Ovis aries: one gene and its partners. Each later gene encodes a partner of the first gene's protein in a complex. Links are inferred from orthologs where the notes say so. Each region holds a gene or a part of one and is shown on either strand. Other genes may lie near its edges.

Region 1 (4,123 bases):
CTAGATTTCTCCACCTAGTTTTAATAACGTTTTATAGTATCTTTATAAAACTGCCTTACAGCCCTGAGGAGAGGGACTATTACAAATACATACATAAACTGAAGAAAATCATCCTTACCCTTAGGGTGCAGAGCTAGCTGTTTTAGCATATTTATGACTGCAGGTTTGTTGTTTTAATTTGAATTCATCACTAATAATGTAAAGTTCCAGCATTTCATATAAAAAACCAGATTTCAAATAGATATCTCTATAGGAAAAAATGTAGAAGTTCTAATCTCCCTGGACCTGACTAGCAGATCAGTCTTGAGCAGCAACTGTGGTCTCCAGCGGCCACAGCAGTTCTCACAAGTTCATTGGGCTCATTTATATTACTTGAGAGGCCTGCTAATGAGTTCAAAACAAGGAACTTCAGGATTCTGCATACACACACGCAGGCGCGTGTGTTTTTTCTCGTTCTTTGAAAAAGGATGGAGAAGTAACAGGCACCATTCATTCTGCAGCCTTCAATGCACCTTTCCGCTGCGTTGGGCCTAGTAATAGGCGATGAAAAAAGAGAGAGATCTGGGTCCCGGTTGGTACCACCAACGATTGGTCAGAGCAGGAATCGCCGCCACTAACAAACACAAGCAGTGTTGAATGTAGTTATTAAATATATACAAAGCTTGGTGCTGAACCGAAGGTAGAACGGTACTTGATGTAGAATCTAAGGAATCTAAGCTCGGCTCCCCTATATTACACAGTCGTCTAGGCAGCGCACAGGTTCACAGGAGACGAGGCGGAAACACAGTGATGGCTTGCCTCTGCACAGAATCACAGACAACGCCGACTCCCGGACTGGGCGCAGTCTCCTAAGACGCGCCCGTTTCCGGAGCAACCGCCCAGTCCCTCCCCCATTGACTCCGCCCCCGGGGGCGTCTTTCCCGCCCAAGGCCGTTAACCCCGCAGAGCATTGTGGGATAAAGCTATAGGCTAGGTTTCACTAAATCCTTCCAAAGCGCCTTTGCTTTAAGAGACTTATTCCTGGGGAAACTGATTATTCTTTAGGACTCGACAAGATTAATAACCCTCTTTTACAAGGGCTCTGCCCTAAATCTTTACCACAGGGCCGGTCACTTCCTTTGCAAAGCTCTCGGCACCACGGGAACGCGGGAACTTTTTTCCCTTCGCGCGGAGGGTGACGTCGCGCGTGCGCCAGCGTCCCTTTCGCTGCACACCCGTTACGCTCTTGCGCGTGCGCAGTGAGATCGAATAGCTGCTTCCTCCCGCTTCTCTTCTTCCCTCCCCCCCATATCCGTGCGCCGAGCTGATAAAGGCGCCATTTTGGAGGGGCCGCGGGAGACGTGGTGTCGCGGCGGGCTCGCTCTGCCGTTCGCTAGGCTTGGTGGGAAGGCCTGTTCTCGAGTCCGCGCTTTTCGTCGCCGCCATGTCGGGAGGTGGTGTGATTCGTGGCCCGGCAGGGAACAACGACTGCCGCATCTACGTAGGGAACTTACCTCCAGACATCCGAACCAAGGACATTGAGGACGTGTTCTACAAATACGGTGCTATCCGCGACATCGACCTGAAGAATCGCCGCGGAGGACCGCCCTTCGCCTTCGTTGAGTTCGAGGACCCGCGGTGAGGCGGCCAGGGACTTGCGGCCTTGAGGATATAGGTTGGAGTAGTTGGGGAGTGCTCCAAGGCCTTAGAGAGAATGGGGACGTGGGCTCTGAGGTTGGGAGCAAGACGAGTCGGCCGCGCACGAGTGAAGTGAGGAGCCGAGTCGGTGAGGCTTCCCTGGTGACTGGGTCCCCCGGGCGTCTCCGGAGCCGGCTCGCGGGCTCGGAGCGGGAAACTGAGGCGCTGAGGGCTGCTGTAGTGGTCGGGAGCCTGGCGTGCTTCTGGGTGGGGGAGGGGCCGTCCCTATTATGCGGCGCATGTGGGCTCTTCCACCCCGGGTGCGCATGTGCGGGGCGCTGCTGGCTCCCCGACGGAGGTGGCCACCCCTCCCGGCCCTTTTTCTTACCCTTCGGCTTTCTGTAATCACGCAGGGATGCGGAAGACGCGGTGTACGGTCGCGACGGCTATGATTACGATGGATATCGTCTGCGGGTGGAGTTTCCTCGAAGTGGCCGTGGTACAGGCCGAGGCGGCGGCGGGGGTGGAGGTGGCGGGGCTCCCCGGGGCCGCTATGGCCCCCCATCCAGGCGTTCTGAAAACAGAGTGGTTGTCTCTGGTAAGTTGACCGTTCCGCGCGGGTCGATGTCACTTTTGGACAGATCCTACACTTTAAAGTTTTCCTTGCATGCGTAGTTTGACAAATGCTAGCTTTCATGGTAGGTCTTTAAATTATTTCAGTCGCATGGATGAATTTAGTAACCAGGAATTACTGTATTTGAGATTTAACGAATTAGATTGCAGTGTCTAGAATATGAAGATCATTACTTTGTAAATAATTTGGGGCTTTTAATTCTAGAATTTTGAATCATTAACCTAGGATGTTAAAACTAATCATTAATTTTAAAGTAGTCTTGGTTCTAATGTAAATTTTAACTTTAATGTGAAATACTAGGATAATTGTTGAAAAAAACTCTTTTTCAGGACTGCCTCCAAGTGGAAGCTGGCAGGATTTAAAGGATCACATGCGTGAAGCAGGTGATGTATGTTATGCTGATGTTTACCGAGATGGCACTGGTGTCGTGGAGTTTGTACGGAAAGAAGATATGACCTATGCAGTTCGAAAACTGGATAACACTAAGTTTAGATCTCATGAGGTAGGTTATACACTTATTCTTTTTATTGGCCAGAATTGGATACAGTGGTCTTAACTGTGGAATTTGAAGGTAAGATTCAGGCAAGGGTGTCCAAGTAAACCCAGTAAAGTGCCTCTGGTTTAAATTACGTTGTATTCATTCAGCATGCCTGAAGACAGGTGAAAACTTAGATCTTTCAATCGAAAGTTCTGTCTATTCAATAGGGAGAAACTGCCTACATCCGGGTTAAAGTTGATGGGCCCAGAAGTCCAAGTTATGGAAGATCTCGATCTCGAAGCCGTAGTCGTAGCAGAAGCCGTAGCAGAAGCAACAGCAGGAGTCGAAGTTATTCCCCAAGGAGAAGCAGAGGATCACCACGCTATTCTCCCCGTCATAGCAGATCTCGCTCTCGTACATAAGATGATTGGTGACACTTTTTTGTAGAACCCATGTTGTATACAGTTTTCCTTTATTCAGTACAATCTTTTCATTTTTTAATTCAAACTGTTTTGTTCAGAATGGGCTAAAGTGTTGAATTGCATTCTTGTGTAATACCCCTTGCTCCTAACATCTACATTCCCCTCATGTCGATAAATTGTATTTTAAGTGATGTCATAGCCAGGATTGTTTAAATTTAGTTAACTCTCCATGCTCTTCAGACTGTGATATTGTGTAAATGTCTATTCTGCTCTGGTTTGTGTGAACTGGGATGTTGGGGGTGTTTGTGGTTATCTTACCTGGGGAAGTTCTTATGTTTATCTTGCTTTTCATGTGTCTTTCTGTAGACATATCTGAAGAGATGGATTAAGAATGCTTTGGATTAAGGATTGTGGAGCACATTTCAATCATTTTAGGATTGTCAAAAGGAGGATTGAGGAGGATCAGATCAATAATGGAGGCAATGGTATGACTCCAAGTGCTATTGTCACAGATGAAATTGGCAGTATTGACCTTATACTAAAGGCAAGGGTTTAAATTGATTATGTATACATCTACCATAAAACACTTGTAAGCATCTTAATGCAGTTACCTTTAGCTACAATTGCTTTGCTCTTTAAACCTTGGCAATTGTGGCAAAATTACATTGCCCATTTTGTAACTATTTTGCTCCCTTCCCTTTTTTATTTTAATAGGGACTAATGTGGGAAGAACTGGCTAATTTGTCATAATGCTTAGTTACAACTGTTAATGTGTGACCTGCTGTTGGTGTACATGTGGGTACAGGGTGTCTTTAATTCCAACCAGATAGAGTATAATATCAATACTGCTAAATCTGCATGTCCTCTGTGTGACTGATATAGCGTTGCTACTTCATTTTTTAAAGACAAAATGAAAGCAAAATATAGAATTCCAACATATTGGTGTAGATAATCTAGTTGGGAATAATTTTA
Region 2 (4,137 bases), about 40 Mb from region 1:
TCTGCTTCATCAAGGACAAGGTAGGTGGTTCTTCTTAGATTGGTTTTCCCACATTCTAAAAAGTCTATCAGTCTTCCAGGTGTTGCAATACAGATTTCCACACCTTTAATTAAACACACAAAAGTTACCATGACATCCAGAACTTCCTGCATGATCAGTGACAAATAAAACCTTTTTGGTTACATACCTCTCTCCAAATCACGTATTTGTGGTCCCTTGGGAGCACCACCATAAATGCAAGTAGACTTCAAGCGACATGCTCTACAGTATTCAGCAGCTACTTGCTGCACCTGTTGGGCCAGTTCCCGAGTAGGTGCCAGCACCAAGCACTAAGGAAAGAGAAAGTGGAACACCTTTAGGAGACCCCTGAATTCTAGTTTTGAAGTGCTAATTTACTGTTGCTACACTAGCAGATGATATACATTGTCAATACCCAAAGCAGCTTTGTCCCTTCCTACACTGAAAAACATAACCTTCCATATAAAACCACCAGAATTTTCTTTTGCTGTATATTCTACAAATCTCTACGCTGTTAACCAAGTTAAGAGAATACAATGTACACTTACAATAGGCCCATCACCTCTCTCTAGGAATGGTTGATGATTGATGTGGACAATGGCAGGCAGCAAATACTATACAAAAGAAAAGCAAACAAAAAAAGCCATATTAAAAACACTTCTGGTTTCTTTTAATTCCCAACCCATTTTTCTTCAGGACCTGTCACCTAACTCAAAGTTTCCCAAACTTACAGACAAAGTCTTCCCAGATCCAGTTTGTGCTACCCCAACCATATCCAATCCACTCAGAGCAACCGGCCATCCCTGAGCTTGAATAGCTGTGGGTTCAGTGAAGTTCTGCCTTGCAATCACATCCATGACATTTGCTGTAATGTTAAGAATTAAGTAAACGTCAATAATGCCATGAGAAAGGGATTTTTTTTTTTAAGGTGGGGAAAACTAGCACTTACCAGGGAAGTTTGCCTCATAAAAATTCAGGACTGGCTTTGGGCAGTTATGACCTCTAACTGTAATTTCCTTGCTTCTTCTGTATGTCTCCACCTCTTGCTACAAAAGAAATTTATAAAATTCAGTTATCTCACGAGGACTCCCCCTAACTAAACACACGACCAACACACCCCTAAGTTAATAATTATCAACATTAACATTCCTTTAAGTTTGCAAGACATTTCTAGTCAAACTTAAATGTCACTGAGTTACAAGCTGAAAAAACCACATGAAATTACTCACTGCTGTACGCCTAGCCAAATCGGGGTGTTCTTGATAAAAATTCTTCTCAAACTTGGGCAGCTCATCAAGATTCCACTTCTTTTTAACCAGTTTCTCTCCAGGGTTTCCAAACTTCTTTCCAGATAAGGGCCCTGCCCTACTACCTCCAAATCGAGGAGCACCAAACCTAAAATTTGAGGGGAAAAAAAATTGCATTTTCAAACATGTACAGACTTATTTTACCATCCCTGCGCACATGCTAAAACTCAATGAAAGATTCTGGAGATGCAAGTGCTGTCCTCAGTGATGGTCATTCTTTCAAAAGCCAGTTAGTACTACATCTCCCTCATTTCCCGTTACACGAAGTACACACCATTGAAAACAAATCAACAGCCCGGGATTTACTAGGTTGGAAACTGGCTGGCCAAGCTCTAGGAGTTCAGATACAAGGACAAACAACAGCTGGTGGATACTACTCTTTCACACAAGCGAAAGAATTAAATGCCAAAAAAAAATAAAGCAGAAGCTTAACACAGATGTTACTTAGCACCTGTCCTGAACCAAGAGCTCTGATTTTAATAGGTAGCGGAACAACACAGGTAAGTGAGTGCAGAACACGGCGGGTGGCTCGGGGACAGTTAGGCAAGCCAATCGAGTTGGGGGGATCCCTCAAAACGGTTTCCTACCAAGGTAGCAAAATTATATAACGAAAGGAAAACGAGGAGGAGGAGCCGGAGACTACCGGGGGAGGAGTCCCGGCCCGGGCGGAGTCCTTCGGGCGGCGTTCCCGCTGGGGCGGCGCTTCCCCCTTTGTCTCGCATTTCTCTCTGCGCCACATTTTCTCGACGCTGCCATTTTGAGCTCCTCCGCCGGGCGGGGTAACAAAGGCGCCGCCGCCATGTCCGCCGCCGGCATTTTGTACCCACGGCTCGGCCACATGGCCGATTCCCGCGGCACCGGCCACCCTCCAACCCTCGCCGCATTAACGGCTTCGGAGGCGGCCCCCTCGGCACCCACAGAACCCCCAGATTCCTTAAAATTCCTGTAAGCTTACACCTAATAGTGGCGACTTCGCCTCAAAGCGCTGCGCTTTCCTCCCCTCAAAAAATGTGCTCGAAATTCTCCGAACAGTTGCCAAATCATCAAGGCCCCGATACCCCCTCCAAAACAAAAAAGAATCTTGAGGACCGTTAACATGAAAAGTCCAGGTTTGGACAAATAACAAAATGGCGCAAGCCCTTTTCGATGGCGGAGGCCCGAGAATAGTCTTTAGAAGCCGAGTTGCCCCCGCCACCCCACCCCCGCAACCCTCATCGGTCTCCCATCCCCCACCCGCCGGGCCTGACAGGTCGGTTCCCACACTCACCCTCGATCCCGGCCACGGTCTCGGTCACTCGAATAACCCGACATGGCGTCAATGGTTGCGGTTGGCGGGAAGCGAAGCGGAGAGAATCGGGTGCGACGAGTCGCTGGAGGTGGCTCCGGCGACGGCAAAGCCTTGCGGGGGCGGCAGCGGCGGAGGGACGACGATGACAGAAGCCAAGGCTGCCCAACAAGAGACCGGTGGAAATGAATGAGGTGCCGGCCGCGTCCCGGCAGCCGGTTTTATAGCCTGGCCCGCCTCCTCCGCCGCAGAGAATGCTGGGAGCCGCTCTATGACCTAATCACTCCGCCCCTGCGCAGAGCTATTAACGCCTGCCGGCGTTCCGGGATCCGCCATTTTCTCGCCCCTCCCCCCGGGCCCTTTGCCGACTTTTCGCCCCTTTCAAGGATAGGACCCGCCCCCACCCCGCGGTCCTCCACTGGGATGCCTAAGCCTGCACTCTCTTGACTTCACCTTTTTCTGGTCTTTCACACTTCAGGGAAACCACTGCGCCCTTTTCCAGGTCTAGCCCAGACAATAAAATGTCCAGCCCAGGTCAACTCCCTCGGTCCCCTTGAAGATGTTTACGTCTCCAAAGAGCCTTTACACCCATTACTAGGGGCGACAGGAAGGCGGAGCCTGACATTGTCACGTGGCTGCCCCGCCCGCCGAGTGAGCGGGACGCACTACTTCCCCAGTTGGCGTCGGCGGAGGAGTACAAGACGAAATAGCTCACCGGAAGTGCCGTGCTAATGCCCTCGGGAAATCGGCCGGGGCTGTTGGGCGACCCGAACTGTCAAACCCACCCACCCCAGGACCCCTGAGCGGGGTCTGGCTGGTGAAAAATGGTATCTAGAGTTCGCAAACCGCCACCTCGGCACGTGCCGCCAAAGGAAGTACTCCCGCGGTGACCAATCAGCAGCGAGAAGCCGTTTTAACGTCCCTCCCTCCTTCACCGCACCCCTTCCCGGCACTTTCGTTTGCTTCCTCTCCTGTCAGCCCTGGGTCTGCGCCGTGCGGCCCTTTCAGGACGCCGTCCCGCGCGCGCCCGGCTAGGAGTCCGGCGGCGACTTGCCTCCGCGACATGGCCGGCTCAGAGGCTGGTGAGTCTCTGCGTGGAGCCCCGTTTGTGTGTGGGCTCAAGTACCTTTTCAGTCCAAGTCCTGAACGCCCCTCCCCATCTTATCTTGAGGCTTCGGGTGGGTGTGGGCTGCCGGCGGGGCTCGTGAGACAACCCGGTCGTAGTTGGCGGGTTCTCTGGCTGGGGCTTCTTAGTCCCGCTCCCTGGCGCATTCGAAGTTGTCGAGCCTGATTTGGGGCGGGGAGACAAGGGCCCTGCGGCGAGGCCCGCAGCACGCGAGCATGGTGGCTGTAAATGATCAGAAAGTGTCTTTCCCTAGACTAGTATTTTCTAGGGAGTGTGCCCTCTGCTCCTGCACTGCGGAGCCTGAGGCTGAGTATTAGCACTCTAAAAATCTATTGTCATCCCAAAGCGGAATAGTGGTGGATTTTCCCGCTTCAGAGCTTCCTACGGTTACCGGCTTTCTG
Region 3 (3,531 bases), on another chromosome or scaffold:
CACTTCACAGAGCCTGGGGTGTGGCGGGAAGGGGATGAGGCAGGAGTGGCAAGCTGGGGGGACGGGACCCACCTCAGTCCCCAGCTTCATTCTCTTCTAAAGTTTCCCCACTGGTAGCATTCTCTGCAGTCTTAGAGGCCTACATTCATGGAAAGGAGAGAAGATGTGTCAGTTTCCAACAACTTAGGGTACTGTCTGGGGGACCAAGGACAAGAGTATTCCTAATTCTCTAGGTCAGGGCTGAGAGGAGAAATAAGGACATATCGACACCTATATCCCCACCAAGACCCAGGAAAGTGAATAAAGATGATCAGGTTCACCCCACCAGGGAGGGATGATCATAACAAACCTTCTTTTTTTTCTTTTTCTGGGTTTTCCGACTTGCAGAACTCTGGAGGAGCGCCTGCAAAACAGAAGAAAGTGAACAAATTTTGAGGAACATGGAGCAAATGCCAAGTGCTACTCTCGGCATTGCAGCTCTTCTCAGGACTTCCCATCACTCAGTCCTCACTCCCAGAAAAAGTGCCATGTCCCTGCTCCTTTCCATCACACACTAACCTTGAGCTCTGCATCCTGGACCTCCATCTCGGACTTGTAAAGGTCAGGCTCAAAAGGACCACTGGTTATCCGCATAGGGCCATTGGGCATAAGCAGAACTGTAAATTTAAACTGGGCAACAAATTCACCTATGAGAGAAACAAAGTGTTTTGATAGAATGTCCCCTTGCCTTCAAGGAGAAGGGGACCATAATCGGAGGCTTCAAACTACAACTCTCTTCTCAGAACTCACCCTCCTTCTCATAGAGAACATTAAATGGTTGTAGCAGTTCATGTTTGGCGCACTCCACCACACCCATGCGGGCCTTCTTCTCATCTTCAAATGCTCTGGGGAGGGGAAGACAAATTCAGGTATCCTTAACTCCCTGTCATGTTTTACCACTTTGTTCCTGTTTTTAAATAACTCCTACCCTCAGGCAGAAATCATGCGTAGGATTGCTTTTTGTTTACACTACTTCCTATGAGAGGGAGAAACAGAGAAGGCATGCATGCAGGCTGGAGCTACAAGTCTAGGTAGAAGAGGAGGGAAAGAGGGCAAGCAGGGTAGGGGAAGGAAAGAGATCTGGCTGTATGGTCTACGGGTCAGACTGTTCCAAGTCCTGTCCTCGCTAAGTGCAGTAGTACCTTAAAGTAAAGGGCATGGCATCAAAACGCCTTTCAACCTCACTGAAGAAGGCACGGGAAGTTTTCATTTTCAGGCCATACTGCTTAGAGGGGTCTCTCTTGTAAATGGTGGTTCTCTGTCCTGCATCCTTGGCCTATAAAACATCATATTTGATCTGGTGCTCTTGGAACCCACCCCCAGCCTCCCCTCTCTGCCGGATCTGGTAAACATTCATCACCTTGCCCTCTCCTGAGCTGACGAGAACATCCACAGCATATACTTCATGTACCTCAAATTCTGCTTTTTCATGGTCTTTCCTAAAAGAACAGAAAGGGAACAATAAGGAGCAATAAGTGGTTCCTGGAGCTTAGAAGAGAAGGTGGATAAGATTAGCCTGGAGTATGGAAGAACTTCGTAACTAGTCTTATATGACAGAAGGTAGACAGTGGGATACAGGGCACCTACTTCTGCTGGTCTGTGGGATTCTGGATAATGGTTTTCTCTCCATCAATGACATGCTGCTTCAACTGGTGTGACAGCATACCTGTAGAGGACAAAGCCTGTGGCACCACTCATCTAGAATCCCCAAAGGTTTCCAACCCACCTACCCAAGTAGAGCCACGGAGCAGGCAATGAGAGCAAAGTGCCCAGCTATGGAAACGGGGCACTGAGGTTTGCGGCTTGGATTATGCCAGAGCCAGGGTGGATGCTCAAGGGAACAAAAGTCTTAATTCTGCTAAACCACTCATACTGAGACCCTCAACCCCACTATCTGAAGTCTCACCTTCTATTGGTGTGCAATTAAATGAGTGGGCAACTTTGTTCCAGGCTTCTGTCACTTGTGTGTTCTAGAAGTACAAGATCAAATAAAACGTAAAATACCAGGAGCTAGTAAGTTGTCTACTATGAGAAGCAGCAGCATAAAGAACTGAGTTCTAATATCCTCCAGCAAATGCAATGATTCTCAGTAATTTTTCATTTCATAGCCCTAGCATCTTACAACCTAGAAATCAAATTTGCATACCATTTTACAAAGCACTATCACAAAGATGGTCTGCTTAGACAACAATTCTGTAAGGTGACTAGTGCCAACAATTCTGTATGGTAATCTACATCCTAATTTGGAGGAGGAAACTGAGGCTCAGAAGGGTTATATGATTTGCTCAAGGTTAAACCAGTTAACCAAAAGAACCTGGTATAAACTCAGGTTTTCGGATCACAGTGTTTAGTCCATGATACCTGGCATTCTAACCTGTTGAAAGGGTACAGAAAGTTTTATTTTGTCCTCTTTACCTCTTTCAATCATGAGCTGATCCTCACCTAAATTATAGTTAAGAGAAAAAGAAAAGTGAATTTCCAATCATAGCTATTATTAAACTACATGTCAGGTACTGTGATAATCACTTTATATGGATCATCTCAATCTTCACAACCCTGTGAGAATGAGGCACAATTTAATTTTTCCCACTTTACAGATGAGGAAATTTTGAAGTTATTTCATTTTAAATCAGTAGTGGGTGGTAATGGGATGAGAATCCAGAAAGTCTCAGGTCATAGCTAGACAACAGCCACTACATTAATAGTATCTTATAGTAAGCATATAAATAATAAAAATAATCAATATGTAAAATATTAATAGCTAACAAAAGGGTTAACTCTGTGCCAGGTACTATTCAAAGTGCTTTATAATAGCTCTTTGATAGATACCACTGCAAGAAAACTACAACAGAGGCTGAAGTAAAAACGATGCAATTAAGTGATAATGGGGACAAACGGATAAAAAGGGTGAAGAGCACAGAGAAAGAGGATGCTTTATGTATTGAACAGGTTCTGAAATCTAAGTGTTAGACAAAGTCTCCACTAGTAGTCTAACATGTTATTGTATGAATTCATGAGAAATTTATGATCCCTGGACGTCCTAATATTGTCTTGGAAGGGTCTTTGGCCTTTCTTTGCCACAAATTTACTGGTACTATTATTATTTTTGTGTTATAAGCTTTTAAAACTTAGTTTCAATATCTGTGTTTTATTGTGAGCTATCTATCTCAAATTATTTCCAGGAACAATACACATCCAAAACATGAAAAAGGAAGGATCTCTATAGGCTCCATAAGAAAAGGAGCACCCATCATCCCCTTACAGTGAGCATCATACCACCTAAGGTAGGCACTAAGATTTAACATCTCTTCGGTTTAAACTCTTTTAGTTCCTGCCTCTTCTCTTTCAGTATAGAATAGCAGTACATCCTGAACGCACCTTTGGCTCTATCAAGCTTTGGACTTGGACTAAACAGCTCACCTGATTTCCAGGTTTGACCAGGCGTAGGGCAGCTTCAGCACAAAGGTGAGCTGCCTTAATGACATCTGCTTT

What was found.
Region 2: SRSF1 (region 1) and DDX5 share a complex: the UniProt entries of both Homo sapiens proteins name them as parts of the ribonucleoprotein complex. The link is inferred for Ovis aries from reciprocal best matches to the Homo sapiens genes SRSF1 and DDX5.
Region 3: SRSF1 (region 1) and PA2G4 share a complex: the UniProt entries of both Homo sapiens proteins name them as parts of the ribonucleoprotein complex. The link is inferred for Ovis aries from reciprocal best matches to the Homo sapiens genes SRSF1 and PA2G4.

The regions. Positions count from the first base shown.
Region 1 is NC_056064.1:8,495,237-8,499,359, reverse strand, and holds the start of SRSF1 (serine/arginine-rich splicing factor 1), read left to right. Parts: upstream 1-1,314; 5' UTR 1,315-1,423; coding exon 1,424-1,617; intron 1,618-2,030; coding exon 2,031-2,215; intron 2,216-2,580; coding exon 2,581-2,753; intron 2,754-2,956; coding exon 2,957-3,151; 3' UTR 3,152-4,123. UniProt on the Homo sapiens protein: Plays a role in preventing exon skipping, ensuring the accuracy of splicing and regulating alternative splicing.
Region 2 is NC_056064.1:48,409,327-48,413,463, forward strand, and holds the start of DDX5 (probable ATP-dependent RNA helicase DDX5), read right to left. Parts: upstream 2,807-4,137; 5' UTR 2,637-2,806; coding exon 2,593-2,636; intron 1,414-2,592; coding exon 1,248-1,413; intron 1,065-1,247; coding exon 968-1,064; intron 884-967; coding exon 750-883; intron 633-749; coding exon 567-632; intron 330-566; coding exon 188-329; intron 104-187; coding exon 1-103. Other genes in the region: CEP95 (centrosomal protein of 95 kDa), read left to right, coding at 3,674-3,692. UniProt on the Homo sapiens protein: Involved in the alternative regulation of pre-mRNA splicing; its RNA helicase activity is necessary for increasing tau exon 10 inclusion and occurs in a RBM4-dependent manner. Binds to the tau pre-mRNA in the stem-loop region downstream of exon 10.
Region 3 is NC_056056.1:163,426,908-163,430,438, forward strand, and holds part of PA2G4 (proliferation-associated protein 2G4), read right to left. Parts: coding exon 3,460-3,531; intron 2,010-3,459; coding exon 1,946-2,009; intron 1,706-1,945; coding exon 1,627-1,705; intron 1,479-1,626; coding exon 1,400-1,478; intron 1,316-1,399; coding exon 1,182-1,315; intron 885-1,181; coding exon 790-884; intron 687-789; coding exon 559-686; intron 404-558; coding exon 350-403; intron 140-349; coding exon 74-139; 3' UTR 1-73. UniProt on the Homo sapiens protein: May play a role in a ERBB3-regulated signal transduction pathway. Seems be involved in growth regulation. Acts a corepressor of the androgen receptor (AR) and is regulated by the ERBB3 ligand neuregulin-1/heregulin (HRG).